5 linked regions of the Tribolium castaneum genome follow. The protein of the gene in region 3 interacts with the protein of the main gene of each other region in a biochemical or structural test. Links are inferred from orthologs where the notes say so. Each region holds a gene or a part of one and is shown on either strand. Other genes may lie near its edges.

The links.
Region 1: the proteins of Cam (region 3) and trpl interact in a test that uses a peptide from one of them, tested with the Drosophila melanogaster proteins (2 studies listed by BioGRID). The link is inferred for Tribolium castaneum from reciprocal best matches to the Drosophila melanogaster genes Cam and trpl.
Region 2: the proteins of Cam (region 3) and ninaC interact in a test that uses a peptide from one of them, tested with the Drosophila melanogaster proteins (2 studies listed by BioGRID, with this or other methods). The link is inferred for Tribolium castaneum from reciprocal best matches to the Drosophila melanogaster genes Cam and ninaC.
Region 4: the proteins of Cam (region 3) and GTP-binding protein Rit1 interact in a test that uses a peptide from one of them, tested with the Drosophila melanogaster proteins (2 studies listed by BioGRID, with this or other methods). The link is inferred for Tribolium castaneum from reciprocal best matches to the Drosophila melanogaster genes Cam and Ric.
Region 5: the proteins of Cam (region 3) and jar form a complex in vitro, tested with the Drosophila melanogaster proteins (2 studies listed by BioGRID). The link is inferred for Tribolium castaneum from reciprocal best matches to the Drosophila melanogaster genes Cam and jar.

What each region holds. Positions count from the first base shown.
Region 1 is NC_087402.1:543,629-549,651, reverse strand, and holds the start of trpl (transient-receptor-potential-like protein), read right to left. Parts: upstream 3,485-6,023; 5' UTR 3,338-3,484; coding exon 3,326-3,337; intron 3,282-3,325; coding exon 3,157-3,281; intron 3,096-3,156; coding exon 2,858-3,095; intron 2,808-2,857; coding exon 2,665-2,807; intron 2,618-2,664; coding exon 2,437-2,617; intron 1,597-2,436; coding exon 1,405-1,596; intron 1,359-1,404; coding exon 1,124-1,358; intron 1,076-1,123; coding exon 667-1,075; intron 528-666; coding exon 270-527; intron 157-269; coding exon 1-156. Other genes in the region: trp (transient receptor potential protein), read left to right, coding at 3,708-3,805, 4,109-4,259, 4,315-4,553. UniProt on the Drosophila melanogaster protein: A light-sensitive calcium channel that is required for inositide-mediated Ca(2+) entry in the retina during phospholipase C (PLC)-mediated phototransduction. Required for vision in the dark and in dim light. Binds calmodulin.
Region 2 is NC_087398.1:9,793,075-9,798,505, reverse strand, and holds the end of ninaC (neither inactivation nor afterpotential protein C), read left to right. Parts: coding exon 1-88; intron 89-138; coding exon 139-423; intron 424-601; coding exon 602-990; intron 991-1,039; coding exon 1,040-1,558; intron 1,559-1,607; coding exon 1,608-2,695; intron 2,696-2,739; coding exon 2,740-2,808; intron 2,809-2,854; coding exon 2,855-3,039; intron 3,040-3,096; coding exon 3,097-3,296; intron 3,297-3,348; coding exon 3,349-3,983; coding exon of another isoform or gene 3,984-4,003; exon of another isoform or gene 4,004-4,039; coding exon 4,040-4,143; 3' UTR 4,144-4,261; downstream 4,262-5,431. Other genes in the region: integrin beta-PS, read right to left, coding at 4,379-4,608, 4,658-5,431. UniProt on the Drosophila melanogaster protein: Required for photoreceptor cell function. The ninaC proteins combines putative serine/threonine-protein kinase and myosin activities. Essential for the expression and stability of the rtp protein in the photoreceptors.
Region 3 is NC_087397.1:1,842,538-1,848,878, forward strand, and holds Cam (calmodulin), read right to left. Parts: upstream 4,675-6,341; 5' UTR 4,518-4,674; coding exon 4,515-4,517; intron 4,264-4,514; coding exon 4,089-4,263; intron 2,727-4,088; coding exon 2,484-2,726; intron 1,805-2,483; coding exon 1,776-1,804; 3' UTR 1,104-1,775; downstream 1-1,103. Other genes in the region: uncharacterized protein LOC660922, read right to left, coding at 1-148. UniProt on the Drosophila melanogaster protein: Calmodulin mediates the control of a large number of enzymes, ion channels and other proteins by Ca(2+). Among the enzymes to be stimulated by the calmodulin-Ca(2+) complex are a number of protein kinases and phosphatases.
Region 4 is NC_087396.1:9,919,166-9,925,421, reverse strand, and holds the start of GTP-binding protein Rit1, read left to right. Parts: upstream 1-2,323; 5' UTR 2,324-2,477; coding exon 2,478-2,664; intron 2,665-2,716; coding exon 2,717-2,773; intron 2,774-5,711; coding exon 5,712-6,229; 3' UTR 6,230-6,256.
Region 5 is NC_087397.1:7,630,779-7,636,765, reverse strand, and holds the start of jar (myosin heavy chain 95F), read right to left. Parts: upstream 3,893-5,987; 5' UTR 3,647-3,892; intron 3,515-3,646; exon of another isoform or gene 3,458-3,514; intron 519-3,457; 5' UTR 511-518; coding exon 256-510; intron 210-255; coding exon 1-209. Other genes in the region: uncharacterized protein hlk, read right to left, coding at 4,373-4,743, 4,791-5,114, 5,163-5,801, 5,984-5,987. UniProt on the Drosophila melanogaster protein: Myosin is a protein that binds to actin and has ATPase activity that is activated by actin. Together CLIP-190 and jar may coordinate the interaction between the actin and microtubule cytoskeleton.

The sequences.
Region 1 (6,023 bases), on a different chromosome or scaffold from region 3:
AGGTTCAATAAAACGATGACATTGATCACCGAGTAAGAACCGAACATTAAAAGGCCCCAAAATCTCGTGTAAGTTTTGATTCCGGTTAACTCAAAACTGGCGAGGTCCACCATACCGAAGCTGGCCCAGAAAAGCGACTGGGACGACTCAAAAACGCTAAAATAGCAATTAATTTCTTTAATTTTATTTATTAGAAACAAGGGCAGGAACTATCAAATTACGTCGACTTTTGCGATTTTTTTAAAGGAAAAAATAAATAAAAAAATTACTTAGCGAAACGGCGCCACTTCATGCACGAATCGGCCGCATTATCAAAATCGGCTTCACCACTTGGTAAATGGTAACATTTCTTCTTTTCCAAATCCGAAAAGTACCACAAGAGTTGGTTCAAACCGCAGGCAAAAGCAAACAGCACCAGAGTGTAAATAAAGAAGAATTTTACAATGTCTATGACCATTCTTCCAAGCGATATTTGCAACGGCCCCAAATGTGGGTTGATGGAGAACAAATGGACCAGTTTTAAGGCACTGAAAAAAAATTAAAAAAACATTTTTTTACCTCTTCTTATTATAATAAAGAATTATTTTCAACACATATAAAAAGAAACCTAGAAGCTTCATTTTTTGCAAAAAAATTCTCAACGCAGTAGTTTTTTTTCACAATTACCTGAAAATATTTGCGGCTGCGAAAAGCCCCTCAGCAATCAATTGCGGATCGAAAGCTTGCCACTCCTCTCGCCTGATATATGCCGTAAAAGGGTCATTTTCAATTTCGGAAGTTTGCTGGATATAGGCAGCCACACGTAACAAAAAAACGGCCGTATAAAGAAAATTTCGCGTAAAATCAATAAAATTCCACAAGTTACGCAAATACGATTTCATTCCTTCCACATAAATCTCGTGAGTTTCCTCGAAAATGAACCCAATAACATAAATCAAGACAACATATTCTAGGATAGTTGGGGGGTTTCCCCTTTGTTTTCGGTACTTTTCCTGTAGGTTTTGTTTCATGCTTTCGGTTCCGAACAATTCGATGATTTGGTCTTCGGCTCGTTGAGACACCAGGATTAACAAAACTGAAACAAAGTTTAAATTTTTGGCCAATGATGAACGTAAAAACTGACACAAAAAGAACAAATAGGACGAGGCATGAATTAAGAATTTCATGAAGGGTTTTCTCATTAGTTTCCCGGTTTTCGTTCCGGGTGTTATCATGTATAGCATGCAATAGAAGGGGAATAAAACGGCCACTTTGACAATGATCATGATTTTTTGGGTTGAGGATTTGCGCCGAAATCCGGGAACGCCTTCGTACCAGATGGCGGCTAAGAGTTGTTGGATGTTTGGATGGGCTACGAACTTTTTTTTTGTTAGAATTTTTGAGTGATGTTTAATTGAGGAATACTTTTTTTTGTTTGTATTGAATGGCGAGTTCGAGGCGTGCAAGTTTCATGTGTTCGCCTTCTTCGTAAGGTGGGGCGGCTGGGTCGTGGTTGAGGATGAACGCTAGTTCTTGGGAGCTGCGAGTTTGGTGGAGGAGGTCGACAGCGAATTGTTGGCATTGGCGGCGCAGGTCCATGTATTCGGATTTACATTCCTGGAATTAAGCATTTGATAAAGTGGAACTGTGTAAAATGATCCGGGGAATCGATTGGCATCGAGAAAATTACCAAATTCCGAATAGTTTCTTAGTTATGAATTTTTTAAAATTTTACCAATTTTTGCATTTATCAGCAATTTGCTCGAAAACTATAAGTCGGAGAACAATAATCTTTTTTGAAAAAAATAGATAATCTAAAGAGCTTTCCAACGATAATACACTTCATGGGGTTATCTCTGATAGTTCCGGAGCTATTGCTCGACAAATGTTCCGGGTACCCAAAATCGACAAAAATTGCGACGAAAATTGAAAAAATCAAACATCAAAAAATCGAACATATGGACTTTTTGTGGACTTTTAACAACTCTAGAGGGATGTACAGGCTCATAAAAGTCCATAAAAGAATGATAGAACGAGTTAAAAAATTTTTTTTCACCATGAAGGTAAGTGTATAACTCAGGAAATTTTAAGCAAAAAAATTCAAAATTTTAAATCTCGTGAAAAGTTGGTATAATACAGAAAATGAGCCGCTGAATTCATTGGAACAAACCGCATAGCTCTACGACTTTTAGTTTTTGAGTTATGAATTTTTTTATTGAATAAAATTTTTCATTATAGAAATTGCCTATTTTAATTTTTTGCAAAAAATTTTAAAATGTCAGATCTCGTTGAAAGTTGGTTTTATACAGAAAATGAGCCGCTGAATTCAATGGAACAAACCGCATTGCTCTTTTAGTTTTTGAGTTATGAATTTTTTTATTCTAAAACTTTTAGTCTAAGTTTTATAGTTCCGGAGTTATTGCATGATGAATGAATAAAAATTGTCTATCTACTTACCGGTTCAGCAAACGCCAGATTCCTCAATTCCCACGACAATTGAAACGCTGTTAAAATCGGATCACTTGACGAAAGTGCAATCAAAGACGGACTTGCCAGAGCTTTGTACTCGTTTAGTCTCGCTAACGAGTGTCGTAAATAATCCTCTTCAGATTCTTTGATACATTCATCACATCCACATCTACGATTTTTAGTTATTTTTATTTATTTTTTTATTTATGGTCGTACTTGATATCATGTGGCATCGGAATAGTCGCTCCTCTGTCTAACAAAATTTTCAAAATTTCGTAATTATTTCGATGGGCGGCCAAAGTCAAGGGAGTGATATCAGGTGTGAACATGGCAGTGTTGATGTCAACTTTTTGCCAACTCTGCAAAATATTTGCTCAAATGAAGCAAAATAAAGTTAACAAAAACTTACATAAGGCTCCCCATCTTTGTGGATCAACTCCTCGTGTTCCAACAAAAGCTCAACAGCTTCCACAAACTCTACGTGAATAGCATGCAGAAGAGCATCTCTAGTTTCCACTCCCATGATCACCAGGAGTTCCACCATTTCGAGATGCTCTTGGTCGATGGCAATCGATAAAGCACCACGTCCTAGACTATCCACACAATTAATATCAAACGATTTTTTCCGGTGGGCTTTTTGCAACATTCTGGAAGAAATAATCGTGTTACTTATTAAATTGTGTTGGTGGTTATTATTTATTCCATTACCGGCGAACATTTGCCATGTCTCCACGTTCAATGGCCAATAAATATTTTTTTTCTTCAATTGAAAGTGACTTGGGCAAGTTGGGCATGATTAGGGTCTTGCGTGTGACTTTAGCCTCAACATCAACCTATCACAAGACAATTAATTAGGGGAAAATTTAATGAAACTTACCGAATCCCCCATTTTGCACAAATTTAGGCGATCACATTACTCTCTAGAAAAATAGGGCGAGTAATAAGTTAGTAATAATCTTGTAAGCGCTTATAACTATGGTCTAATCACATTATTGTCTTTATTAAATTAGATTACACCAAACGAGTGCATTACACTAACCGACTTTTTGGTAAAATTACTATTGGTTTAAATGCAATAAAGCAACTAAGAAAATTGATTGCGCCAATAAGGAATTTTTGGTGATTTTTTCCAACTCAAAACTCCTATTATATAACGCTCCTGGGAGTAATCCTCTTGGCTTTGTCCCGCATTTTAATTCAATTAATAGTGAGGGTCAATACAAACTTGAAAGTATTCTCGATGCGACAAGTGATTGAAAATGTTTGGATCTGATTGTAATAATGAAAGGGCGTTAAGTCAGGTGGAAAAATCGTTTTTGCTTCATGCCGAAAGGGGTGATTGTGCTACAGTTCGCAGGTAATTTTTTATAGCATATTTCATTGTCAGTTGTTTTGAGTGGGTAAAATTGCACTTTAACAAGGGTAGATAAAATATTATTTTAACACTAATTTTTTTCTATTAAATTACTTATTGAAAAAATGTAGTATACATGACAATAAAGATGGTTGATGGTCTTTTAATTAATTATAATTTCAGTTTTCCATTTTTTTTGTTTTTTCTTTGCTGTTTTAGAGTTTTTTAATTTTGTTTTTGTATTCCATTTTCTAAGTTTTTTGCTTTTAAAAATAAACAAGAAATTAATTGCGAAAAAAATAATAGGATAATTGAGGAATATGGTGGTGGTGAGGGCGATCAAGAGTTTGATATAAACTGCATCGATGCTCTAAATCGCTCAGCGTTCGTTATAGCAATTGAGAATGGAAATATCGAGCTGGTGAAGCTTCTCCTTGAGTCGCAGATTGACGTTAAAGTAATCGCAAGTAATAATAAGTTTTATTTTTAGTGCTGCGAAATTTTAATTGCAGGATGGATTGCTTCATGCAATAAATGAGGAATTTGTGGAAGCGGTTGAAATGCTTTTAGATTGGGAGGAGAGGACGCATCAAGTTGGCGATTTGTACAGTTGGGAAAAAGTCGAACGGTGTTCGGCCACTTTTACACCTGATATTACACCTCTGGTCTTAGCCGGGCATAAAAATAATTACGAGATTATTAAGCTGTTGCTGGATAGAGGAGCCACTCTTCCATTGCCTCACGATGTCAAGTAATTAAATTGAAAAATGAAAAATTACACTATTTAGGTCGAAATTTCTGATTTTTTGACTAGAAAAATGTGCTTAATTTCGACTTAATTTGGTGTTTTTTTTGGTAATTCTCTTAGTCTGTTTTGCGCAAAATGAGAGATTGTACAAGAACAAGTTTAAACCGAGGAGCCGTTTTCAAGTGCATAAAACTTTGCTTTAGTGATTTAAAAAAACTGCAACCGCAATGCTCTACGACTTTTAGTTTTTTTTTTATGAATTTTTTTAGTGAAAAACTTTGATCGCTTCTGTAGCCAGAACCGTTGCCCGGAGGGGCTCCGGGTTTGGTCGAAAAAATAAATAAAATTAAGCGCTATCAGATGGTTTTTTGCTCGTTGCTCTAAGTCTTACAGTTTCCGAGAAAAACGCAAAAAATGTTTCTATTTTCACTTTTTTTCAATTTTCAACCGCCAATTACGGCCAAACTATTAGAGTTATCGAAAAACGGAAAAATCGTGGACAACCGGAATAAAAAACTCTACAAAATGGCATAGGACTCAAGGCGATATCTCGCAAAAAAATTCAATTTTCATACGCCGATTACGGCCAAACTAAAAGAACTAGGAGAAAACGCTTTTTTCCATCAGAAAGAGCACATCAAAATCTATAAGATAGAATAGGTTTTATTTGACTTTGAGACATTTTTAAAATTGACCGATTTTAAGGGGGGGGTGTTAACTTTTTTTTAATTTTTTTATTTTCTCATTTACGGTTAAACTATTTTAAAATGTGGAACTATTTTGATCCATATCTATGCAAAATGATCCGGGGAATCGATTGGCATCGAGAAAATTACCAAATTCCGAATAGTTTTTTAGTTATGAATTTTTTAAAATTTCACCAATTTTTGCATTTGTCAGCAATTTGCTCGAAAACTATAAGTCAGAGAACATTAATCTTTTTTGAAAAAAATAGATAATCTAAAGAGCTTTCCAACGATAATACACTTCATGGGATTATCTCTGATAGTTCCGGAGCTATTGCTCGACACATGTTCCGGGTACCCAAAATCGACAAAAATTACGACGAAAATTGAAAAAATCAAACATAAAAAAATCGAATATTTCACTTTTTGTGGACTTTTAACAACTCTAGAGGGATGTAAAAGCATATAAAAGTCCAAAAAACTATAATAGGACAAGTTTAAAAAAAAATAATTTTTCCACCTTTTTGAAGGTAAGTAAGTGTATTAAGCAAATTTTAAGCAAAATAATTCAAAATTTTAAATCTCGTGAAAAGTTAGTATAATACAGAAAATGAGCCGCTGAATTCACTGGAACAAACCGTTTTGCTCTACGGCTTTTAGTTTTTGATTTATGAATTTTTTTGTTGAATTGTTTTTGTTTTCTTCTCAACTTTTTAAAATTTGTACAATTAATTCGGCCTCTCGGTTCAAACGTTCGAAAATTTTTTTTAATTTTTTTCCTGATTAA
Region 2 (5,431 bases), on a different chromosome or scaffold from region 3:
TTTGGTAAAGAATGCGGAGCATCGTCCGTACATGGTGGAGGTGATAAATCACCCATTTTTGCAACAAGTGCCCGAAAATAACTACCATGTGAGCAACATGATTGTTACTACACATAGAGAACTCAATTACAATTTTAGCTTACTCTTGAAATTAAAACTTTAATTAATGATTTAGAAGTTGTGCCTTCAGTGCGCACGAAATCTGCTGAAGTTGTAGTCATTGAAGATTATATTAAGTGTGGGCTTGACGGTGGTTTGGAAAAAATCCTTGCTGAAGACTTAGCATCTTTAGATTCTTTGCAAGAAGAGGATGTGATGAAATTGCTTGAAGCGCGCTTCAAGTCAGGACAATTTCAAACTTTTATTGGTGAAATCTTGCTCATTCTTAATCCAAACGAAAAAAAAGACATTTATGGTGACGAGGTAAATATTTTTTAGTTAAATTTAATATTAATAAACTCAAAAAACTAAAAACTCAATAATAAATACGAAGTTAGGGTCAGTGGGCCTATAACACTACATACAATTCGTAGTAAAATGTGTTGTCTATACAGCCGCAAGCAATATAATATTCTGAATTTATTTATTTATTTTTTTCAAGTTTCACCGCAAATACCAAATGAAATCACGCTCTGACAACGAGCCTCACATATTTGCCATCGCTGATAGTGCTTATCAGAACGCGCTTCACCACCACATTTCCCAGAAAATCGTTTTATCGGGAGAAAGTGGTTCTGGAAAAACGACGAATTTTTTCCACTTGCTAAATCATCTAATTTATCTCGGACAAAATGACAACATTAATCTCCAGAGAATCGTAAATGCAGTTAAATTAATTCATTCTCTAACACACGCTTTGACGCCAATCAATAATTATTCCACTAGATGCGTCTTTAAAGTTGATATTAAGTTCGGAAACACAGGGAAAGTCAGTGGTGCTATTTTCAACGTATTTCAATTAGAAAAATGGAGAGTTTCTTCAACTGATAGGTGGGTATGTTGCTATTGAAATTCGGGTACTGATCATAGGTTTTGATAGTGTGCAAGGTACATTTTATTTCTTATATTCTGTATATGAAGGATTAAAAATAAATAAAAAATTGGAGAAATATTTATTAAATTCCGATTTTGAATACAAATATTTGAAGAAATGTGAAGACACAAATGATGAAGTGAAAGTTGATTTAATTGACTTTAAACAGATGTTAAAATTTTTTGAAGACTTTGAGTTTAATGATTCCGAAATAGATACGATATTATCAATAACGTCTGCTATCCTAATTTTGGGTGAAATGTCTTTTGTGGAAGCCGATTTGGAGAGCGGAGATAAGGAATGCGTTGAAAAAATTGCTCAGTTACTACAAATTGATCCTTGCAAATTTCATTGGGCTTTAGCCAATTACTGTCTAATCAAGAAAGATGTTATAATTAGGAAAAAAAATACAGAAGACGAAGCAAAGAGTGTACGAGATGCGTTGGCTAATAATTTGTATTTAAGACTAGTTGATTACATTGTCAACACAATTAATAACAGATTAAGTGCGGGACGAAAAATATTGTAATTTATTCAAGCTTTTTTTTTGCTTTATAATTTATTGTTCTTCTAGTGGAGAAACATATTCAGTTCAAATCCTTGATTATTTTGGCTTTGAGTGTTTTAAAGAGAATTACTTGTCACAGCTTTTCGTCAATTGCTTCAATGAACAAATGCATTATTATTACACACAACGAAACTTTTATTGGGAATATTTGGACATGAAGGACGAAGATTTGAATTTTAATACTTCATCAAATTATTATGACAACAAATCGTGCCTGGATGAATTGTTGGGTAAACCCGAAGGTGTTTTCTCGATAATTGACGAAGTCTCTAAAATGAACCAGAATGAAAAACACGTTATCAATTTTATTGAAAACAGTGACTTGAAGTTTGTAAAAGTTGTGGGAAACTTAGATTTTGCAGTTGCTCATTATACGGGAACTGTAACTTACAAAGGATGCGATATATGTGAGAAAAACAGAGATTTCCTTCCGGCTGAAGTGATTGAAACTCTTCGTTTGTCCGACAATCCAACTGTAAAGTTACTTTTTACAAATAAACTAAATCGAACTGGAAATTTAATAGTTGACGCACCTGATAGGTCAAAATATAAATTTACTTCGAAGAAACTGACACATAATCAATATTCCCAAATTAAGCACTTAACCACGTCCCTGAGGAAATTTAAAGCACTTGGTGTGGAACTGCTGAAAGACTTGTCAAAAGGATGCACTCATTTTGTTCGTTGTGTAAGAACAGACCTGCATCAGGTTCCAAAAAATTTCGACTGCGGATTAGTTAAGCAACAAATACGGGCCCTAGAAGTGGTCGAAACTGCAAAATTGAGGCAAAACGGCTACTCCTATCGAACCTCTTTTCACGAGTTTTTAAGACGATATAAATTTCTTGCTTTCGATTTCAATGAAAACGTTGAAACTACTAAAGAAAACTGTCGGCTGCTTTTGATTCGTCTCGGAGTCGAAGGCTGGGATGTTGGAAAATCTAAAGTTTTTCTCAAGTATTACGTTGAAGAATATCTGACTAGACTATTTGAAACGCAAGTTAAGAAAATTATTAAAATACAGAGCATTTTAAGGAGGTTTCTGGCGAAGTGTTTGGTTACCAAGCACCTCCAAAACAAAGGAGAAAAATGCAGTATGTATCATTGGATAATTGAATAATTAAAAAAACCGTTTCAGTTCTAGGACATGTGCAGGCAGAGAAATACAGAATGACTGAAGAAGAAGCCGCGATCATAATACAGAAAGGTTTGTAAATACATTAAAACGCGCTTCTTCCACAACTGTTTAATAGCTTACAGAGAATCAACTGTAAAAAAGTCTTACCAAGACTTTGCAGAAGATTACAAAATTCTAGATGAAGAAACGTGTGGTTTTATTCGAAAATTTGCGCTCAAATGGAAAAATAATACAGTGTTTCGTATATTATTTCTTTATAAATCTGTAAGACATCAAGATTGTTTTAATTTTTCTCAACAGGTATCGAGTAGTATCTGTGATTGAAAGATAATAATAATTTTTTTCTTAAAATTGTAGGTTCATTTATATAACATTGGCATTTTTTACGAACTTGAAGAGCTTAATCAAGCAATTTCGTTAGACAATATCGACTCAAAAGCAAACATTTCTGTTTGGTTGGGAGAATATTCGGTAGCTGTACAAAAAATGCCTTTTCGTCTTGATGAAATACCTTTTTGTGATACCAGCGAAATGTCAAACTTTGTGTTGAATTACGAGTTAATTTTAATATGTAAGATTAATTAATCACCTGTTAACTTATTTTTTTAGGCTATTGGATGAAAAAAATGATTCATGGGATCTACCATATCGTTGGAGAAATTTGATTTCTTCGAAGTTTGACCAGGCGGTGCAAACTAAAATTCCCATTGCTTCACCATTTGCTCGAGATTCAATACAAGAAGAGGAAAATGTTAACCGTAAGAATACTAAAAACAAAACAGTAGACGACAATTTTTTACACAATAAGGAAATGTTAAAAAAAACTATGAAAGAAGAGAAGGAAACGAAAACTTTTTCCAAAAATGAAGAAAAAATTAATTTTAATTCAAAGCTAGCTAATGAAGATTTCGATTACATAAAATCACCGTTGACAAAAAAGCTCAAGAGAATAGATCCTGTAACAGAATTGAAGCAAATTGGGCAAAAAACTGCTTCAGAAAACGAACCACCTTTTAATTTTCAGGGGATGTTAAGAAAAACTAACTTCAAAAAAGAAGTCAAAATAGAGGATAATAATGTAAAAGTTTTACCATATTCTTTAAGGAAAACTGGAATAAATGGAGTAGAGGGTAAAACTTACGAAAGCGCCGAAGCCAGAAATAATCGTAATATAAACAATATTCAATATACTTGTGACAGGAAAAAGATAAAAATACACTTGGCACCGGGTGTTGTTTTAGAAGGTTTTGAAGTAGAAATTTAAGACTTTTTCGCTATTATATTCTGATTATATTTATAGTGCACACCAAAAGTCTAGGATCCAATATAATAATTTTTTTTGGCGATGTATTTATGAAAAAAATCAAATGCAAAAGCAAAAGGATTTTTTTGACGATTTTTTAAATTTTGTGTACCACACTTTTGATGCGCGTCAAATAAATTTGTTTCAATATTTATGTTAACCCTATGTAGATCTCAAATAAAAACATGTAAAATTGTAAACTTAAATGTTAAAAATAAACAAAATAAAAAAAAATAAATATTTATTTAATTTCAAGCAAATGTAGACAATATTAAAAATTTTTTTAAATCACAATATTGCTATTTTTTTGTATTTTTGGTAAAAGCAAAAAAGCATTCACTCAGATCTAGTTTTTGACAATTTGTATGTTCTATACACAGGATTTTTAAAAGTAGAAGTGGCTTGTCGATAAAGAGGATTGTCGTTTCGATGCCACTGCATTTTTTGCCTCTCATTTTCAAACTTTGCGTACTCTTGCCGGTCGTGAACGGTGGTGCAGACTTTCCAGGTAAGTAACAAAATCACTCCTGCTAATAAAACCGACCCAATAACACCCAAGATCCAAGCTACGATGAGAACTAAGTAAAAAACACAAGTATAACAAATACTACTTACCTAAAATATTAGGTGGCCCTCGACAAATTTTTTCCTTTTCAGCTGTGACTTTTAAATTTTTTTCGTTAACATATTCATATTGAAACGCAAAAGTGCAGTCGTTTTCGTCAACTAAAGTACACGTTTTAACCTGCTCGTCGTGACTGTTCTCCAACTTGTCGACAGCTTCGCTTTGGAAGAAAGTGCAATTGCTTTGACACTCTTCTTCGTTGAAAACCCCGCTTTTGTAAATCTGGCACTCAACACAAGGGCGCAATTCCTCGCACCTCTGGCCTTCGCAAGTTGGGCACTCGTCGCAGTACTTCCCCGAATATCTCACTTCCTCGTCGAAACACTCGCACTTGCCGCAGTTGCAGTTTCCATGTCCGTTGCAAACGAGATTGTTATCTGGCTTAACACAGCTGTTGTCGCTGTCTGGACACTCGCAGGCGTCTCCCGTCCATCCAGCTTGACACTTACAAATCCCCCCGCACTCGCAGGACCCTCGCTGCGAGCACAGCCTTCCATTCACCCTTTTGCAACTGTAATTGTCGCAGTCGCAATACTTGCCGAAGATTTTCTCGTCGGGATTGCTCCGCTGGTAGCACTGGCACTGGCCGCATCTGCAAAAACCCAAGCCGGAACAAATTCTTGTGTCGTTTTTTGAGGCCTTGCACAGAGAGACGTCGGCGGAATCCGAGGTTTTCTTGTTACACTCGCACGTTTTTCCAAAGAAGCCCGGATCGCAGTCGCAGACGCCACAGCGGAGCGCTCCGGAATTTGAGCACTTTTGCG
Region 3 (6,341 bases):
GTGTCCGATAGTGGTGCTCCTCCATGGGGGTGTACCCCTGCTCCCGACTGGCCCTCTTGCTCGCATGTCTGTTGGCACAAGCTTTCGAAGTTTTGCTCGCGACGCCGCTTTTTTGCTCCCGGAAGTTTTTCCGGAACATCAGATTCATGGTGACGGTGGTTCTTACAACAGTCTGAAATGTAGCGACATGTGCAGGGCAGGCGCAATGTTTTACAAACGAAATGAAATCATCAATCGATATTACCTTGGCAAATTGATTCGGGCAATTCGTAAATAAGGCCTCATTAAGGTAAAGAACGTAATTGCCGACACCTGACACTATTTTTAGAGATGTAGCATCCACGGTCACGGCGTCGCGACGCTAACGACGCTACTTCTGAAGACTTGAATCCGGCGAAACAACTCGGACGAATCCATCTATTTATAAAAGGTGCGCGGAATTATTACTCACACGCGGTAGGTCAGTGGTGGCGCACCTGATGACCTACTGCTAATCACTAAGGGGTGAGGAGGGGTGGCAATAGATTTGCCGAGGGGAGAATTTTTCATCAAGCGAAACAAGAGTTAATTAAAACTTGGCCGGTCCGTGTCTACATATCGGGCAGTAAAATATGAAAAAACGCCTCATTATAGTCATTATTCATTTTCAACGTTTATCATGGGCCAACATTCAAGGACGCTGGATTAAATTATTCTTTTATGCATATTTTTATTCTTTAAGGATGTTTTTCTTTTGGCTTACCGGCAGATAGCGTAACTACAGTCCTTTAAAGCAATTTTTGTCATATTGTTACAATATGATCGGCTAAACGGGTAAAATATTTACGTTTTTGCAAATTGTTTATTATAATTTTTTCTTTTTTTTACCACTCACTATTTTGCTAATATTGTATTTTTATCTCGCTCATTTTCAGTGCTAATTAAATGTGATAGTGCCGGTCAAGGCAGTTCGTTGCTTTTTTATGGTGTTTGTTGGGCAAGAACAGAAAATCGCTTTAAATTGTTTATTTTTAAAATAAGGAAAAAGTATTAACATAAAAAATCGTAATAGTAATGTAGCCGTAATAATCTAATAACGGGATGATAAACAATCACTAGATAAATAATTTTTAGTCACATTTATTTCAAATTTAAACATCTAATAATTTCACATTGTAACCGATGATAGTCCTTATCTATAAATAAAATAAATAAAACAGTTCAATAAAAAATGACAAGGCTGACGAAAAAAGTGTCTATTTGGTTATACACTGGAAAATCCTACCTATTGAAAATGTAAAACCTACAGTACAGTAGATCTGGGGATGATGACAACTGAACAAATGACTCATTTATAATAAAAACAAAGGGGATACATACTATAGTTAAGTGCACAGATGTATGTTTTTTTGGATCACAAAGTATGAAACATGAAACTCTGAGTGTATTCTAAGTCTGTGTATCCCCTAAACTAACACCGAAAGAACGACTTATAAGTACAATTTCATACTTTGTGAATAACGAGAACGACTCAACTAGACATGTAGCACAGAAGTTGAAACAGTATAGAGGATGCTTGGTGTTGCACCTTCCAAACAAATATATTACAAAAATTTACACAATTATATTAATTTATAAATATTTATTATTAATTAAAGTTGTCTTGTAAATCAAATAACGATTAAGTTTTTCACTTTAGTGGCCCGGCAGCCAAGCAAAAAGTTCAAGATGTTGAAATTGTAGATAATGGGCCGGGATGAAACAATGGAAAGCTGAAATGCAAACTGCTCTACTCTTCATTTTGAAGTCATCATAGTAACGAACTCTGTAATCAAAAAGGAAAAGAAAAACCAAGATTAATTAAAAAGATCCTCAGTAATAAAAAATAAACCTAACACAACATAATCCCAACGTAATAAAGAATCGTGTTGGGTGCACTACATCGATATAAGTGAAACGTTATTACTGGTACGAATAATTTTCATTCGTATTAGCCAAGAAACTTCTGAAATCGTAATGCGCACATTACTTTTTTATTGTTTTAATTAGTTTTTGTTAATTGTATCTACGACAATAATGAAGATGCAGTCAAAGTTTTTTGGAAATGTGCTTCACTGTTGGTAATCAAAAACAACTCTAACCATAAAAAGCGAATAGACACATCGTCAAAGAGTGCTCAAGACAGTGATAGGTAGAACAGTAACAAAATAACATGCCACTAAGCACATTCCCAAAGCAAGACTACAACTGACCAGCTCGAAGCATGTGTGGCTGAGTACCGACTGAAAACTATGAGAGCTAGAGCTCGGAAATCTGCAAAGGAACACTACCAGTCATACCTTCCTGGCCTAGAACACATATCGAAATAAAACCAAAAAAAAAAGAGCTACATTCACATAAAACCCAAACGAAAATCAAAGACCCGTGATCGTCCCAAGCCTACTACACTATACCCGACAAAAATGATAAATGTACAACACACAAAACACCCGAAAAAACATTACCTTCGTAATTGACCTGACCGTCGCCGTCTATATCAGCTTCTCGGATCATTTCATCGACTTCTTCATCGGTTAACTTCTCACCGAGGTTTGTCATCACGTGACGCAATTCGGCTGCCGAAATGAAACCGTTGCCGTCTTTGTCGAATACTCGGAATGCCTCGCGAATTTCTTCTTCACTATCGGTGTCCTTCATTTTACGGGCCATCATCGTTAGGAACTCAGGAAAATCGATTGTACCATTACCTAAACACCCAAAAAACTGTGTCACCCAGAAAAATCCCACATCGAATTGTTATTTTTGGAATCGCATTACGGAAAATAATCTAATTTACTTATCCTTCGATAGTTTAGGATAATTAAAAAGGTACTAAAACTGCAAAGAACACGGCCCGAAATTGCGCTGCCACAGCAATAAATACGAAAATAACATCCTCCGAAAAACACACCAGAATTCTCCAAATAGTTGCGACCTTTGCGTCTCCAGGGAGCGCAGTAATAATCAATTTATAAAAATTTATAGCCCTTCGTATAGTGGCGGCGCCACTACGCATCCGTGTCAACATTCACGCCTTCATTGTTATAAATTAAGAAAACAGGAATTTCCGTCACTATTTGATAAACAAAACCGCAACATGAAAAAATTGGTTTTCTCCCGTTCAAACTCGACTCAGTCAAACGTTATCTTTTTTAAAACAATATCCACGTCTGAAATATTCAATACTTGTGCATTTTCATTTTCCTTCACACAGTTAGTCCGCTCTATTAAAATTCATAGCGTAATCTTAGCCTTTATGGACCATCATCGTTGGCTTAGGAGTGCGAACTGTCATTGAATAACAAATGAATGCTGTTTCGCAAATTATCTTGGGTGCCACGGGGTAATTTCATGGCTAATGCGATTCGACCGACGCTGATCTACATACAGATGGGCGATTTTTCTAGTGTCTAGCAGCGGCCTATAACCAACACTGGGTCAAATTATTAAAGTGATGTTTTATTCGATATTTTTAAGAACCGATTTCTTTACTTTTCGTCGAAATTATCTACGTTTTTTTTAATGATAAATTGTTCTAATCAATGCATAGGTGTTTTTCCGAAAGGTGAAATTACTCATGCTGTGGACATAAGTTACTCATCTTACTCAAAGTTTAGTCATTAACGTACTTTTTGAATTCGTTACCAACTTTATGATGAAAAAACTTTTGATTGGGGTTTGCTATTTAATTAATAACCGTCACAGCCAAATATCGATGACGTATTTGCGATAAGATAAGTTTGTTTCTATGAAGAATTTTTAATTGGGATTATCGAGAGTTGCGATTTTATCACCGATTGTATAGTCTATTTGAGAACAATGCAGTCCATTATCGGTTTATCAACGTTGGTAAAAAATAACCGATCAAACTGTTACACTTTGAATAGTATGTAGCGATAAAGTTTTATCTGGCAATAATTACATCATTCCGTTTTTCTTAATAAAACAAACGTTGAAGGCAAATAATCAAACTGGCAACAGATGGTCCTAACGGTCACACGGTTAAGTTGGCAATAGAAAAAAGCCCTGTCAAAACAGTCGTTTGTTTATCGAAGTCGAGTTGATCTTACCATCGGCATCTACTTCATTGATCATATCCTGGAGTTCTGCCTCCGTGGGATTTTGTCCTAGTGATCTCATAACAGTTCCTAATTCTTTGGTAGTGATCGTGCCATCGCCGTCCTTGTCGAACAGCGAAAAAGCCTCTTTGAACTCGGCGATCTGCTCCTCGGTGAGTTGGTCAGCCTACAAGCCATCAGAAAGTAAACACCCCAAGCAACAGATCGATACAAGTCCCCAGCGTCGAAATTTAGCAATACCGTCGAAAATAGCCGTCGAAATTGAATTTGTCCGCATTGCGGTAAACCAATTTACCGGTTTACGGCAACTGACAGCTATTTGCGAAAGCATCACAAACCAGAAATATCCGCGCGAAGCGCGACCATCCGCAGCCCCGCGCCCCAAAGCCGCCCTTCGGCCGCCTCCGGCCCACTTACCATGGCTGTATTTCCGGTAAAAAGGGCACTCTAAACAATTCTTTGCCACGAAAACAACTGTCACTTGCGACTTTTCGCGTCAAAGTGCACCAGCCAACTGTCTGCGTCTGTGTCTTTTCTCGTTTTGTTTAGGATGGGAGGGTGGAGGGGCTGCGAAAGCACTACCGCCAAAGCGCAATAGTGCGGCTACGACACCAACGAGTAAATATTCCTACGCCCAGCCCGCCCCCACCGAGGCCCCCCGCGGGCCCCCAGCGCCACAAAAACCCCCCCAAACCTCGCGAGAACCCGCCACAAGCCCCCACAAAGACGCTTTTTCAAAATTGAGCCCCCCAAAGCCGCAAAGCCCCGGATCTAGTTTTGCGCGCGGAGAGTCCGCCACGTTTGAATGTCGGGCGCGGCTTGTTTACAACGTACTTTCGTACGGAGCTGCGTTCCCATTGGTCGATATGTACCTGCAATGCGTCAAGCAAGCCGTGCACGCGGTGGTTCAAGTAACGGCGTGATGCGTCGGATTCGGGGCGACGCTGCTCGGGTGCGGCAGTGGCGCACCGACGAAAAACAAAGGAAACGCCCCCTGATTGGGGCCGGGAAGCAGTTCGGCGAAGGGCTTTGGGGCATGAGGTGTGTGAGGGTCCGAAAACGATCGCCTTTTTTTTCGCAAATTGACAGCCATAGCACGCTGCGCAACTTGGCGTCTAATTCAATTAATGCATTCGGGAAGGTGCATATACAGGGTGGTGTGGAAACAAGGCGTTGGATCAATAAGTATTTATTGCGTCTTGAGATACTTGAACCACGATAAATAGCAAGGGTTTTGAAAATTTGAATGCAGAAGGCGTGATGGGAATAATAAAACAAATTAATAACTAGAAGTTTTTTATTCAGTTAAAATTTCTACATAATTGATCCACAATTTGAAATTTTTCGTGACCTTGATATTGGTTCAGTAAATTTCACCCGTGCGTAACAGTCGCGTGACATAATTTCTGACTGGAACTGTACCATGAGTCACTTTATGCAAAATAAATATTGCCAACTTTTTTAGATGTGTTTAGTAAAACAATGACACATAGATTAACTGAAATTTTTTCCGCATTTTCTTTTTTTTTAATAAAAATTGTTAGAAAAAAATTGAGTCGTTGCTAAAAAGATTTACATTATCGTCAGTTTAATACTCCAAACTGGCAATATTGGTCGGTGACGTCACATGCCCATAACAATTTGAAGGGAGTTCTAAAAGATCGTAATGCAAATGCTTGAAAAACAGTTTTATTGTCGGAAGTCTGTTATTAAAAATTTCATCAAGGTTAATATTAAAGTTCAGGATAATGCAATTTCGTGTTTTATGAGATGTTTACTCTTGTCGGTAGTTTTACCATAAGGAAAATATTTGTGCAGGAATCTGTAGAGCACTTCGGGATCTTTAAATTGATAAGATTATCAGTAACCTTGCGACCAAAAATATCTGTTTCAGCGTCACGATTGCGTGTGAAGGGATTTAAAAACGGAAAGTGAAAAGAAATCATAATAAAAATGTATAATTAAAATATAAAACAATATTATTGTTTTAATCTGATATAATATCTCTTTCCATCAGTTGAGTAATTTTTACAATTTAAAACAATTTTTATGGTATATTGTTCCCCAATCGGAATTTTAAGTATTGCCTCAGTAAATATTATGACTAGGTGAGTCGTAGCGCCACCACTCGTTTCTACCTTTAATTACGCAAACTAGCAACAACCTTAAAACCCAGATCGGAAACTTGAAACTCGCTCAAATTACTGTATCGCTCTTCTATCACATTAATTATGACATACACAA
Region 4 (6,256 bases), on a different chromosome or scaffold from region 3:
GCTTTAATAACTACTGAGCACTTAGCTATACAATTTTTCGTTTATCATTATTTGCGCTTTCTGGCTTTTTTACAGTATGGCGGGAAATTTAAATGTGATACCTAGATGACTTAATTTGTATGGTCAAATTGTACTATTTGTTGTTTCATTAAACGTTTGGAAAAACTAATAAACTATGTTTTTATCACTTTTACACTTGAAAAATTTTTACTGTACAGGGCGTTGCATTTTGGATTTCCGAATAGGGGAAATCCGAAACTAAGACGTTTAGAGAAAAACGAGTGACACATTCTCGGGTCCGTTTTTTGGGATAATAATTTTGGTTAAAACCGCCTCTCGCTATAATTTTTTGTTTTCGACAAAAGTTGACATTTTAGCGAAATCTAAAAAAAATCATATCTTCCTTATTACAAAAGATTTACATTTGAAACAAAGACATAATACGGGCACTTTTTTACAGAGAATTTAATAAAGTTATCAGTGTTTTTTTTAATTATTCGTTTAGCTATAATAACAAAGTTTTATTTTTTTAAATATAAATCATAGTTGGCTATGACATTTTCGAAAAGCTTATTTTTTTCTGATCTGAAAACAATATAATTACAGTTTGATATTTTTATATACTTTTTATAAAAAGTATATTTAAAATATTTGAAAGTAGTTGGCTATGGTAAAAATTATTTCACATAAAATTTTGTGAACGGTTATTAAGTAAAAAATGGGAAATTATCAAAATAACCTATGTTATTTGATGTGTCACTATCATTTGATCACACTTTTTTATGATTTAGTAAAGTATAATTGAGGTGACGTTGATAATGTTATGTATTTTTTTACCGCAAATGGGATTTAATTTTGGTGTTTGGACTGACATTTTTTTGTAAAATAAAATTTTATTGATAGCCAATCATACAATTAATAAGATTGTTGTTTTTCCGACATTTCATGTTTAATTAGAAAATAGAATGACAATATAAGCTTGTCATTATAAATCTAAAAACAAATAATTTTCATTAAATACAAAAATTTAATCAAATTATAATTTATTATGCTGTTTAGTTGTTATGTTATTAGTGTTTAAAAATTATTAAATTGTAAATACTTGTTGGGTAATTTAGTTTTCATAGTTTTAATTGAAAATCCAAAATTTTTTCATGGCCTACTATAAAGGAAAAGCGAAATGTTATGTTTTTTTTAATATCTAAAAATAATGTATTACACAAATAGACATATCAAATCAGAAAAAAAAAGTTTTTCATAAATATCACAGCCGCCTATGACAATCATTTAAAAAAATAATACTTTATGTTATTACAGTTAAAGTACAGATCGATGCAGAATTAAATTCTCTACCATTTATTAAAATAAAAATTGTGGCATGTTATTTAAAAATTTTGAGTTATAGGTGTTTGAAGTTTCGGACTTAATCTAAAAAATTTGGGGGCAGCCAGCTTTTTTAGAAATTTGAAAACACCAAAGAGATTATCTAAACTTTCCCATGTAAATAAGCCAAAATAGATTTCAAAATTTAAAAAAATGGCAAAGTTATCGATTTTTGAATTGAAAGATGCAATTCAAGTAAATTTAGGTATAAAGAAAGCCGATGAAAACTCATTGAAAATAAACCGAGTAATCTAAAAACACAGTAAAAAACGTAGCTTTCCATTTAAAACAAGGAAATTAATTAACCACTTTCGGCAGTTTGTTCCATTCAAAATAATGCAAAATGCTGTTGCAAAATTCTGCTATTTCCCATTTCAGTTTATAGTAGAACTGCAACAGCGCATTTGAATTTTTGGGAGTGAAAGATAAAGCACAAATTGAGAGTTTCTGTAAAAGAAAAGAATTCTGTGTTAAACTAATGCCCAGCAACACGTTTTGAGCTAAGAAAAACTAGAGTTCCAATAAAGGAACTCTAAGAAAAACAAAAGTTTTTAATCTTCAACACAAAATTTGCGGTTTTTCTCTTATGAAGGGTGCTCCTGTGTAAGAAAGTTTGTTTGGCATTTCTCAATACGAAACGTCAGATTATTGTTAACAAATTTAAAGCACTTTTAAGTCTTATTGTGTCTAATTCGAAGAATAAAATGTATAGGCCGCGTTTTCGTGTAAATCGGTTCATTTTATTTCACCTTTCGTGGATGATAGATAAACCTCTCATTATCACCCAACTTTAAAAATCTACTCGGCAAAAAAGCGTTCGATTTACACTCAAACTCGGTAAATAAATAATTATTTTATATTGGTAGACAGGCATTAAAAATTGTATTTTTTAAAAAACAGGAAACTGCGCCACGATGTTTTCTCAGACGCTGCTAGATGCCGCTTCCGCTCGACATGTCTAAAATGTCATCCTCAAAATGAACTGCGGGGAGGTTCTGGGGGTGGCAAATACCATTAAATGTTTGAAATAAACCAGTATTTATAAATAAAAATAGTGTCACTTTGCGGTAACTCCACTTAAAAACCCAAAAACAATGGCAGGTGAAGCTAGTCATAAGAAAAAAGGTAAACTATCCCGTCAAGAATCAAACAGATCAGGTAAAGGTTCAGAAGTTGAAGACAGGCCTACGGCCGGTGCCAGCAACACCCAAGACAAAACTAGCGGAGGACTTCGAGTTTATAAAATAGTCGTCTTGGGAGACGGAGGCGTGGGAAAATCTGGTGAGAAAATTCCCCTCTTTTCTCACACATTCATTCATGAGGTGTGTTGTAGCTGTCACTCTCCAATTCGTAAACCACAGTTTCTTGGACTATCACGACCCGACCATAGGTAAATAACAAGCACTGCGAGCTGGGCGGCGAGTATGCGAAAAAACAACTGTTACAATTACAAACACCCTCGTCACAGATCACTCCGCGCAGTGGCGATGAGGGATAAGAGATTGTAACACGTGTTTTTTATTTTAAGCATCTTTTACGTTGTACATCTTAAGCCATTGGCAATTTTAAAAACATCTTTGTCTTAAATGATACATGAAAACGATTATTACACCGACAGAGTTCTCGCATTGTTTGTGCGAAGTTCAAGACAAAATTTAGAATAGAAAGAAGTAGAAATTTTTATTTTGTGAAAAATGATCAAAAATTTGACAGTTTTTCAGGTTTTTGGTGATTAAAGGAGTTCGGCTGGAAGCAATTACAAACTTCAAATTCAAACTTTTAAATTCTAATTTGTTCTAGACATTTTTAAGTTTAGCTATTGCGTAATCACCTATTTTCCGTTTTAAATAATATGCACTGTTACCAAACCTATATTCGGTTTGTTATTTTGGTAGTTCTATTTTAAGTATCAAATTATATTAAGGTTGTTAGATTTGGAGATCTTTTGAAAATAATTAGCGTTAATAGTTAATACTTAAAGATTTTTGAAGAGAAGATTCTGTGATGACTGGCGGTTAAACTTTAAAGGTATTTCTATTCAGAAACAATAATTAAAAAAAAACAATGTTTACGTTACTCTTAGAGACTACTGTAAAAATTTCATTAATTCCTGATGGAGAAGTATAAAAAATAAGGGTTGCTATACCTATAGTGTCCCATCTGCTAGAAAGCTCACGTTAGTAAGTAAAGTTATTAAAAAATATCTATTTTCAAATTTAGAGCTTAGAGAAAACCATTACAATTTTTTTATCACGAACTCCCGGACTATATGATTTATGTGGAAGTAAGATTTAAAAAAAAAGGAAAAGAGGCAGTAGCAACATCGGATGGACAAAACTTTAATGGGTTAAAAATTAAAGAGCTTCTAATTTGGAAAAAACTCACGTCCACGTGTTACTACTAACAAAACCAGATAAATCAATTTTATACTGCATTCCTCCAATTGATTTATTTATTTATTTTTCAAATAAAATATTAGATTTTTCCACGAGCCCGGGATGTCTCGAAAAAAATTCACATGAAACCATCGAGATAACCAATTTTTAATCCACGTTTTTTGTATCTTTTTTGTGTAACCGTTCTGAAACCACGTTGCTATGCTAACCAAAAAATGTCGAATTTTTCTCCACTAACGAACGAATTTGATACTTCCAATCAAGTATGAAGATCTCATATGCGGACTTGGTATTATAGTTATTGTTTGCTTTTACTAATCATTATTCAAATACAACCATTTTTTTAAATTCGTTGCTCTAAAAGTTTTAGTATTGAACAACTGCGCTTCCTAACGACATTAATGGAACTACCGAAGATGGGGGCGTTGGGCAAAAGTATGGAACCAAACGTTTTGTGTCTAAACTAAGTGCCTTACGAAAAAAACAATTAGTTTATCATCAAGTACTTTAAAAATGTGATGATGTTTTTTAATAATAAAATTTTTCGAAATTCCTTTTAGTTTTAGAGTCATTAAATTTATTTTTTTTTTTACAAATGACACCCCACCACGACGATTTTTTTGGTAAAAGACCATGCTCTAGAGATTACTTTTAATATTGTCTTTATACCAGTGGTTCTTTGAAAATAAATTATTAAAGTTGCATTCCGAGCTTGTTACGAAGGTTTTTCGAATTTGGCCGAAGTGGTTGTATCCATGGATGTCCATATTTGCGAAAATATTGAGGAATCAAATTACTCGAATAAAAACGTCCCTGGATGCTGCCACCTCTTCGGTCAAATTCGGAAAACCGTCGTAATGAGCTCGGAACGTAACTTTAATAATTTATTTAAAAAAAACACTGGTTAAAAAACAAAATTATTGAATTGGAAGTAATTTTTAAAGCATAATCTTTAATCAAAAAACTGCCGTTGTAGGGTGCCATTTGAAAAAAAAGTTTTTTTGAATAACTCGAAAACTTTCGAAAAAAAATTCTTGAAAAATGATCATTTTTAAAGTAGTTGATGATGTACTTAATTAGTTTTTTCGTATGGTGCATTGTTTAGGCACAAAACGCTTGGTTCTATAGTTTTACCTAACGCTGTATGTCGTATGTATGTTTCGTATTCTAAACTATGGTAATCCGTAACAGTGACAGATATTGCGGTAGATATTTTATCAGTTTTTAACAAATGTTTTCTGTTTTGCACAATAATTTTCGATTAGCTTGCACACGGTTAGAACTACTATGTGATAAGTATTACCAATGAAGGGCAGAGCAGTTGCCCTCCGAAAAATTAAAACTTGAACCATCAGTTCAAGTCAGTTTAAAACAAATTGTCTGTGTCTAAACTGGCACCAGTATTCACTCCAATCCCGGCAGCGTCATGAAGATTGAACGTGACGTCACCATCGACCAGGACTTGTTTTCAACCTCGGCTTTCTGCACATCCGGCGCGACAAACAACAATATCAACCGGTGGGCAAACACATGTTTTTATGTAAATAATATTATTTACATATGTGCGACATAATGTAACAGGCCAAACATTAATCTCGTCCTGAACTTGGATTACGATCCAAAATTTATTTACGCCCTAAATTCAGTACAAAAAAAATTAAAATATAACATCTCTAGTCACAGTACCTACTTTAGCAAAGACACGATTACACGGTACACATTTCAGTAAAAATAAACTATTTAAATACATAAAATTGATATTGTTGTTTACCACGTCGGATGTCCAGAAAGCCGAGATTGAAGACAAATCCTGATCGTTGGTTACGTGACTTTCAATGTTCATGACGGTGCCGGGATTTTTATTTTATTAGAGTTTTATTTATTAGAGTGCTTCAAAGTAGACAATGTAAATGCAATTCGTGTTATTTCCAGAGGATTCGTACCAAAAGCAGGCGGTGATCGATGGCGAAGCGGCCCTTTTGGACATTTTGGACACTGCCGGCCAGGTTGAGTTCACAGCAATGCGTGACCAATACATGCGCTGTGGCGAGGGCTTCCTGATTTGCTACAGCGTAACGGACAGACACAGCTTCCAAGAAGCGCTCGAATACCGAAAACTCATCCAGAAAGTGCGAGCTTCCGAAGACACACCTCTAGTTCTAGTCGGTAACAAATTCGATCTTCAATTGCAGAGAAAAGTTACAACGGAGGAAGGTAGGACGTTGGCGCGACAATTCGCTTGTCCGTTTTACGAAACTTCGGCGGCTTTGCGAACATTTGTCGATGATGCGTTTCATACGTTAGTTAGAGAGATTAGAAATAAGGAAAGAGAAAAACTTGGGTTGCCTGTTAACGAACGAAAACCGCACAGACACAGCAAATGGTGGCGGTTGAGGAGTATTTTCGCGCTAGTTTTTAAAAGAAAAAGACACACGAGCTACACTTCATAACTTTGGTTAAGGTTTTTACTGTTTGGT
Region 5 (5,987 bases), about 5.8 Mb from region 3:
TTGCCAGCTCCTGACTCTCCGGAAACTATAATCGATTGGGATTGCTTCAGGGTTTTCATATCGCGAAAAGCCTTGTCGGCGATCGCGAAAACGTGGGGTGGCATTTGGCCCAAAGATTTGCCTTGGTAGTTTTTGATTGTCTGGGGGGAGTAGAGTTGGGGGATGTCTTTGTAGGGGTTGACGGCGATTAGGATGTTTGCCACGTAGGTCTAAAATTCGCTGTTATCGGCGAGCTTACGCGCGATAAGGACTTACGTAGATTTTATTTTGGTAATATCTGATACGGATATTGTTGAGGAGTGAACCTTCGTTTAGGAAAACCATTTCGCAGTTGTCATCGTAGTCTTTATTTACGTCATCTTCTTGTGCTTTGAAAATGTCGCTGAAAGGCAAGACCCGTTTGGGGAATTTCGAGTTGACGGGGATTACTTCAGCACCCTCTACTAAAAGTTCGGAAATTCGGGCAAGGATGAACCCTTCGGTAGGGTCCCGAGCCCAAACCGAGTCCATGTTTCACTCTAAAAATACGTTTTTGTCAATGCCGATGAAACGGTGTCGGTAAAAATTGTTGAGTAAAGACCATATGCCACGTACAGTTATACAGGGATACGGTACTCGTGACCCACTTGATGATACAGAAGAGCAGATTTGCCTCAAGTTTTAATTTAAGCGGCTTTATTATTTAGAATGAGGCGACGTTATGTCGAAATCGACTAAAGAAGACGTTCAACTGCTTCTTACGTTGTAACGGGAGAAAAAATCTATAACCACGAAACTAACTACAACCAATTTAGTTTTAATGAAAGAATAAAATGATAAGTCAAATAATATGAAATTTGAACTCAATTAACACAATTTTCTATAACCAAAATACACCTAACTGGAATACTAAAGAAAGGGTAAAGTTTTATCTATTCAATTTTTAACTTTATTGATTATCGTACGGGTCGTACGTCAGTCTAGATTAATATCAGCTACTTATAAGCAAACATATATTAAATTAATAAACGATAATTTGATAAAAATTGCAAGTTTTATTATGATTAGATTAACTGGGGCATTCAAAAACGTCGGAAAATGTAGAACATTCTTTTAAAATCTTATCTCTTAGGCATTTTACAAATTTTTAAAAAAGTCAATTTTTTTTGGTTAAATTAGATTAGGTAACAAATATCAAGGCAGATACTAACTAGGCATAAATCAGCATCAATTTTTTAAATTCATTGTAGTTGTTAATGTCTTTTAGCAGTTACCAGATTTTTTGTTATTAACACAAACGGAGAACAACTTTGGTTTTTAGAACAATAATTGAGAAGTTTGTGAAAATACAATTTATTACATGATTTGTTGAGATTACTGTGATTGATTGATTATTCGGCCGCTGGATTAAGAAAGTGGAAGTGTTTTTCCAGAATTATAACCAATTGCGGTTGCAACATGATAATGGCAAGGTTACGTGAACGTTCACAGAATTGTTACTGCAATTTTGAAAACAGAATATGGTTCTCAGAAATTGGAATTTGCTGAAACGGTGTCACAAGTAGTAAAAGAACTGTTTTAATTTTTACACCAAACAGATGGTGGATTTGTGAAGCGAAAAAAATCGAGTCAAATTGGGGCAATGTTAAGTGTTATTAAACGTTATCTAGTTTGTTTTTTCCAACTGATATGTTTTACGAGACTCTATTTGTAAATGCAATGGTTTGTTTTAAGTCAGTCAAGTAGCGTAAAATTTTATTCGCGAATAAATATTTTGGTTTCTAAGAGAGAAACTTAGAAAAGAAAGTGAAAATTTCCTTTTTTCTAGAATAATTTTGGTTGGTAGGTTGTACAGTTTTTGATTAGCGATCGATAATACTAAATTTTATTGAAATGTGTGGATAGACTTTGATAAAGCCTTGTCACTGATAACATCTTACAGATATGCAAGACTATAAATATCTGTGAATCAAATAATTTTCGCGCAAAATGAACATTTTTGGTATTTTTTTTGTTTTAAATCTTGGCTCATCTCGTTTAACGGAGTTTCAAATTACACATTCTTGAAAATTCACGCTGGATGAGTTCGAAATGAATAAGTTAATGTACTTTTTACAATCCGTTTTAAATTTACGTCGTTTGTAGATCTCACCGATGCAAATCTGTTGCTACTTTTCACCATAAAATCGCTGTAACCGTTGTTGCTTCCTTATTTTTCTTGACAGACTTTCAAAGAATGACCTGATTGTAACTACAATGACTGATCTTTCGCTCCGTTATTTTATTGTCGAACAAAAACAATACGAAAGTCGAATTTTGCTGGAAATTAATCAACCAGATGATTGGTCACGAAGAATAATTTTTGATTAGAGAAATAGTCAACTGTAGCAAAACCGCACTAATATGGGAACATCCGTTCAAGGCCTTCAAAATTAATCATACGGTGTTTATAGTCAAGGTCTAGGCCTACACTTTCGATTGACAAAACAACAAATTTCGACGAATTTCTCCCTCGCTAATTGAATATGATTTGTTAAACAAGATGTTACGTCGGTAATTTATTTGCTACATCAACTTTGATTATGTTAATTGAATAAACAGAGGGACAAACCGTACGACATGTGCTTTCTAAGAAGAAATTGTAAATAAACGCTTCCTGTTACTAAGAGCTTCAGTTTTCCACACTTTCGACGCAAATGGGGCATAATTTAAATGCAAATTGAGCCACGTCTATGCATCTTCCTTCAATTAGTCGAAGCATAAAAATTAGAATAATTATTAAGTTCATTGTCAAGTGCTAGTTTTTAACATTTCGTGATAGTCTCGTTTCAGTTGGTTTGGGATCACTGAACTAAGCCAGTAAAGCTATCAGGCTGAATATATATATCTTCACCTTCAGTCAATGCTGCTGGAATTCCCTTCAAAACCTTGAAGGCTCTTTTGAAAAAATTCAGTTATCTTAAGTTTGCTCAAGATTAGATACGATCGAAAAAAATCAAAACAGTTTAAGTGAAAATGCAACGCTGTTACGAAACGATAACACTGTTGCAGATCTTTTCGCAGACTCTTGCAACAATAATTACTCAATGACTCATATTACAATGAACAATAAAGACAACAAATTGTAACACCAGCACTTGAAATGTCACGGTTATAAAGTATGATTCTTTGAAGAGTTGAATTTCGAATTCTGGTCTCGCCCTATTGTTGTCTATCGTAGGTAGAAACCTCACTTTTGAAAGGTCATTATTTATGAACGTGGGGATGTTATAGACGTGTAGTTCCGGTAATCTTGTCACCGGAAGTGTTATACAACAATAATGTCACCGGAATTGCGCCAAACTGTACCCCTTTTTGAAATTCGATAAACTAATGAAGCTTTGCTTTGTTTCCCTTACTAGAAAGCGTCAGAATCTCGCATTTTCGACGAAATAATCAGGCTGTAACAGCGCTAATTTAAAAAAGAAATTCGACATACCTATTTTAGGCACGGTTTATACGTTGATAACAGGTGATAGTGTTGTGTGAACTGAAACGTGGCTTGTGATTATAATAATTTAATAAGTGCTCTTATCACTGATAAAGCTACGGTTTTTAATTTGACAAACCGAAATTGCCTTAATTGAAAATTAAGCGAGCGCTAGTATCAGAGAATAAATTGTATTACCTGTTTTCCGCTAAATCCTCCTAGTTTTATTAACAAACTACCGTAAAGTTGCGATAAAACCACCTTGACGAACACCTTGCGCACATATGACCCAGCACTGTGTTTGTGTTTGCTCTTTCCGTTCCACACACCGCGAGTAGCGAAGAATTTTTAAATGGGAATTAAAATGTCCGCCGAGTGCGCACGTCTCAGCGAAACAACATGGAAAGCGCTTGAGTTCGAATGTAATACAAAGAGATTTCGATTGGTGGGCGATTTACCACACTTTTAAGGCTTTTGCGGGGTCACAAAGCTTGAATTTGGACTGGGATTTAGACATTTGCTAAAAATTTTGATACTTGTGACACTTGTCATCATGTCTTGAGTAAAAATCGTTTTACGTAAACTTAATTTATTTATTTACAAGAGTATTTACAATGTTCACCTAAAAGTAGATAACTATATTAATACGTTTATCTATACTTTCCTGTCCATAAATTCTCTTGGGAATGATTGTACAGTCGCTGTACACAAATTAAATTATCTAGATGAACATTTCAGTGGTGATGTATCATGGTTTTCTTTGGTCCAGGATATGACAAAATGGATTACAACTTATAACAAAGGGAATTCAATTAGTAAAAATAAAAAACTAAACCAGAATGACTTGATCTAACGTTCCCTTCATACAAGGATGCTGATAATGCTTCAAGACCACACTTCTTTCACGCGACTTTCATACAAGACTTAGGACTGCTTGGGATGGGGGACCACAGCTTGCGGTTGAGTCTTGAAACATTGGAGGAGAAAAGCTGTGTAAATGACAAAAGCGATGCTAATGGCGAATAACGCGTACATGAAAATGTTCAGTTCGGGTTGTCGGAAACGATTCTTTCGCAACCATTCCAAAACATCAGCTTCGGAATGCATATCTCCGCGGTATATGCTCGGGAAACGTCTTCGGAAGTACACGATGGCGGGAAGATTCGTCACGCCCCATTTTCTGGCGTACCGCGGATCCGCCATCTTGACAAACGTGATATCAAAGTTGTCCGTCTCGCTGTCAATATTCTCCAGCTTTTCCATAATTGCCTTGCTCTCTTCCGAATTAATTTCATCTGAAACAGCTGGTTATTGTGGCCTTTAAACTGTCTAAACTACCAACAGAAAAACACCGTGACGAACTCGTTCTCTTCCAAGAGTTTCTCCAACATTTTTTTGTTCACTTCTTCGATCTCATTTTTGATTTCGAAAACGTCTTGAGAGGTCAGCCAGTCGAGCACTTTGTCGGATTGGGTCAAGTCGCCTTCGTACACCATCGGGGTCTTCTTCCGGAAATACATCAGTGCGGGAAGCGTGTGCAACCCTTGCTCAGCTGCGGCCTCAGCGCTGCATATTTTGACAAAGTCGATTCCGAACATGTCGGCTTCCCCGTCGATTTCTTCCAAATTTTCCAGAATTTCGTCGCATTCGGGACAATCTTCATCGTCTACAAGCCAAAAGACAGTAAACAAAAAGGGGCAAAAACACGGCTTACAGAAGAAGACTGCGAGAAATGGAGACTCGTTGAGCAGTCTTGTTAACATTCTTTCATTGACTGATTCGATCTCATCAGCAAGCTCGCGGTTGTCGTCGTCTATTAGCCATTCGAGCACTGAGTCTTCGTTCTGGAGGTCGCCTTCAAACAGCAACGGATTGCCGTTTCTGAAATAGACAAGTGCAGGGAATGTTTTGATACTGTAGCGTTTCGCTAATTGCGGGTCTTGAATCCGGACCAAATGAATTCCGTAGACATCACACTCATCGTCGATTTTTTCCAAATCTTCCAAAATCTGCTCACAAATGTGGCAATTCTGCTTGTAGAAGTAGACAGCCAAGTATTGTGTGTCTTGGACTAGGTTTTCCAACATGACTCTTGTAATTAACTCGATTCGGTCTTCGGTTCGTTGCTGGATAAGCCATTGGAGGACTTCCTCCTCCTCTTCCAGGTCGCCCTCAAATACGCCCCCAACCCCACTTTCGAAATACATCAAAACTGGGAAGTCGGTCGCTCCGTACTGTTCGGCAATTTTCAAATCCTGCGTCTTGACGAAGAGAATTCCGTGGCGTTCGCAATCGTCGTCGATATTCTCCAACTCTTCCAAAATGTGGGCACATTGTTCACACTCATCGTTATCTATATTGACACAAGAAATTAGCAAAAAGTTTGGGGAAAATCTACTACAAACAAGCTAAAAGGTGTTAAATGTACGTGTAGTGTTAAATAGCTCTAGTCGTTGATCGTCGAAAGAAAAACTTGTAGGAAAAGTGTCCCTGTTCAAGGAAAAGGCATAATACAACACTACGGGTAAAAAGTACCGTC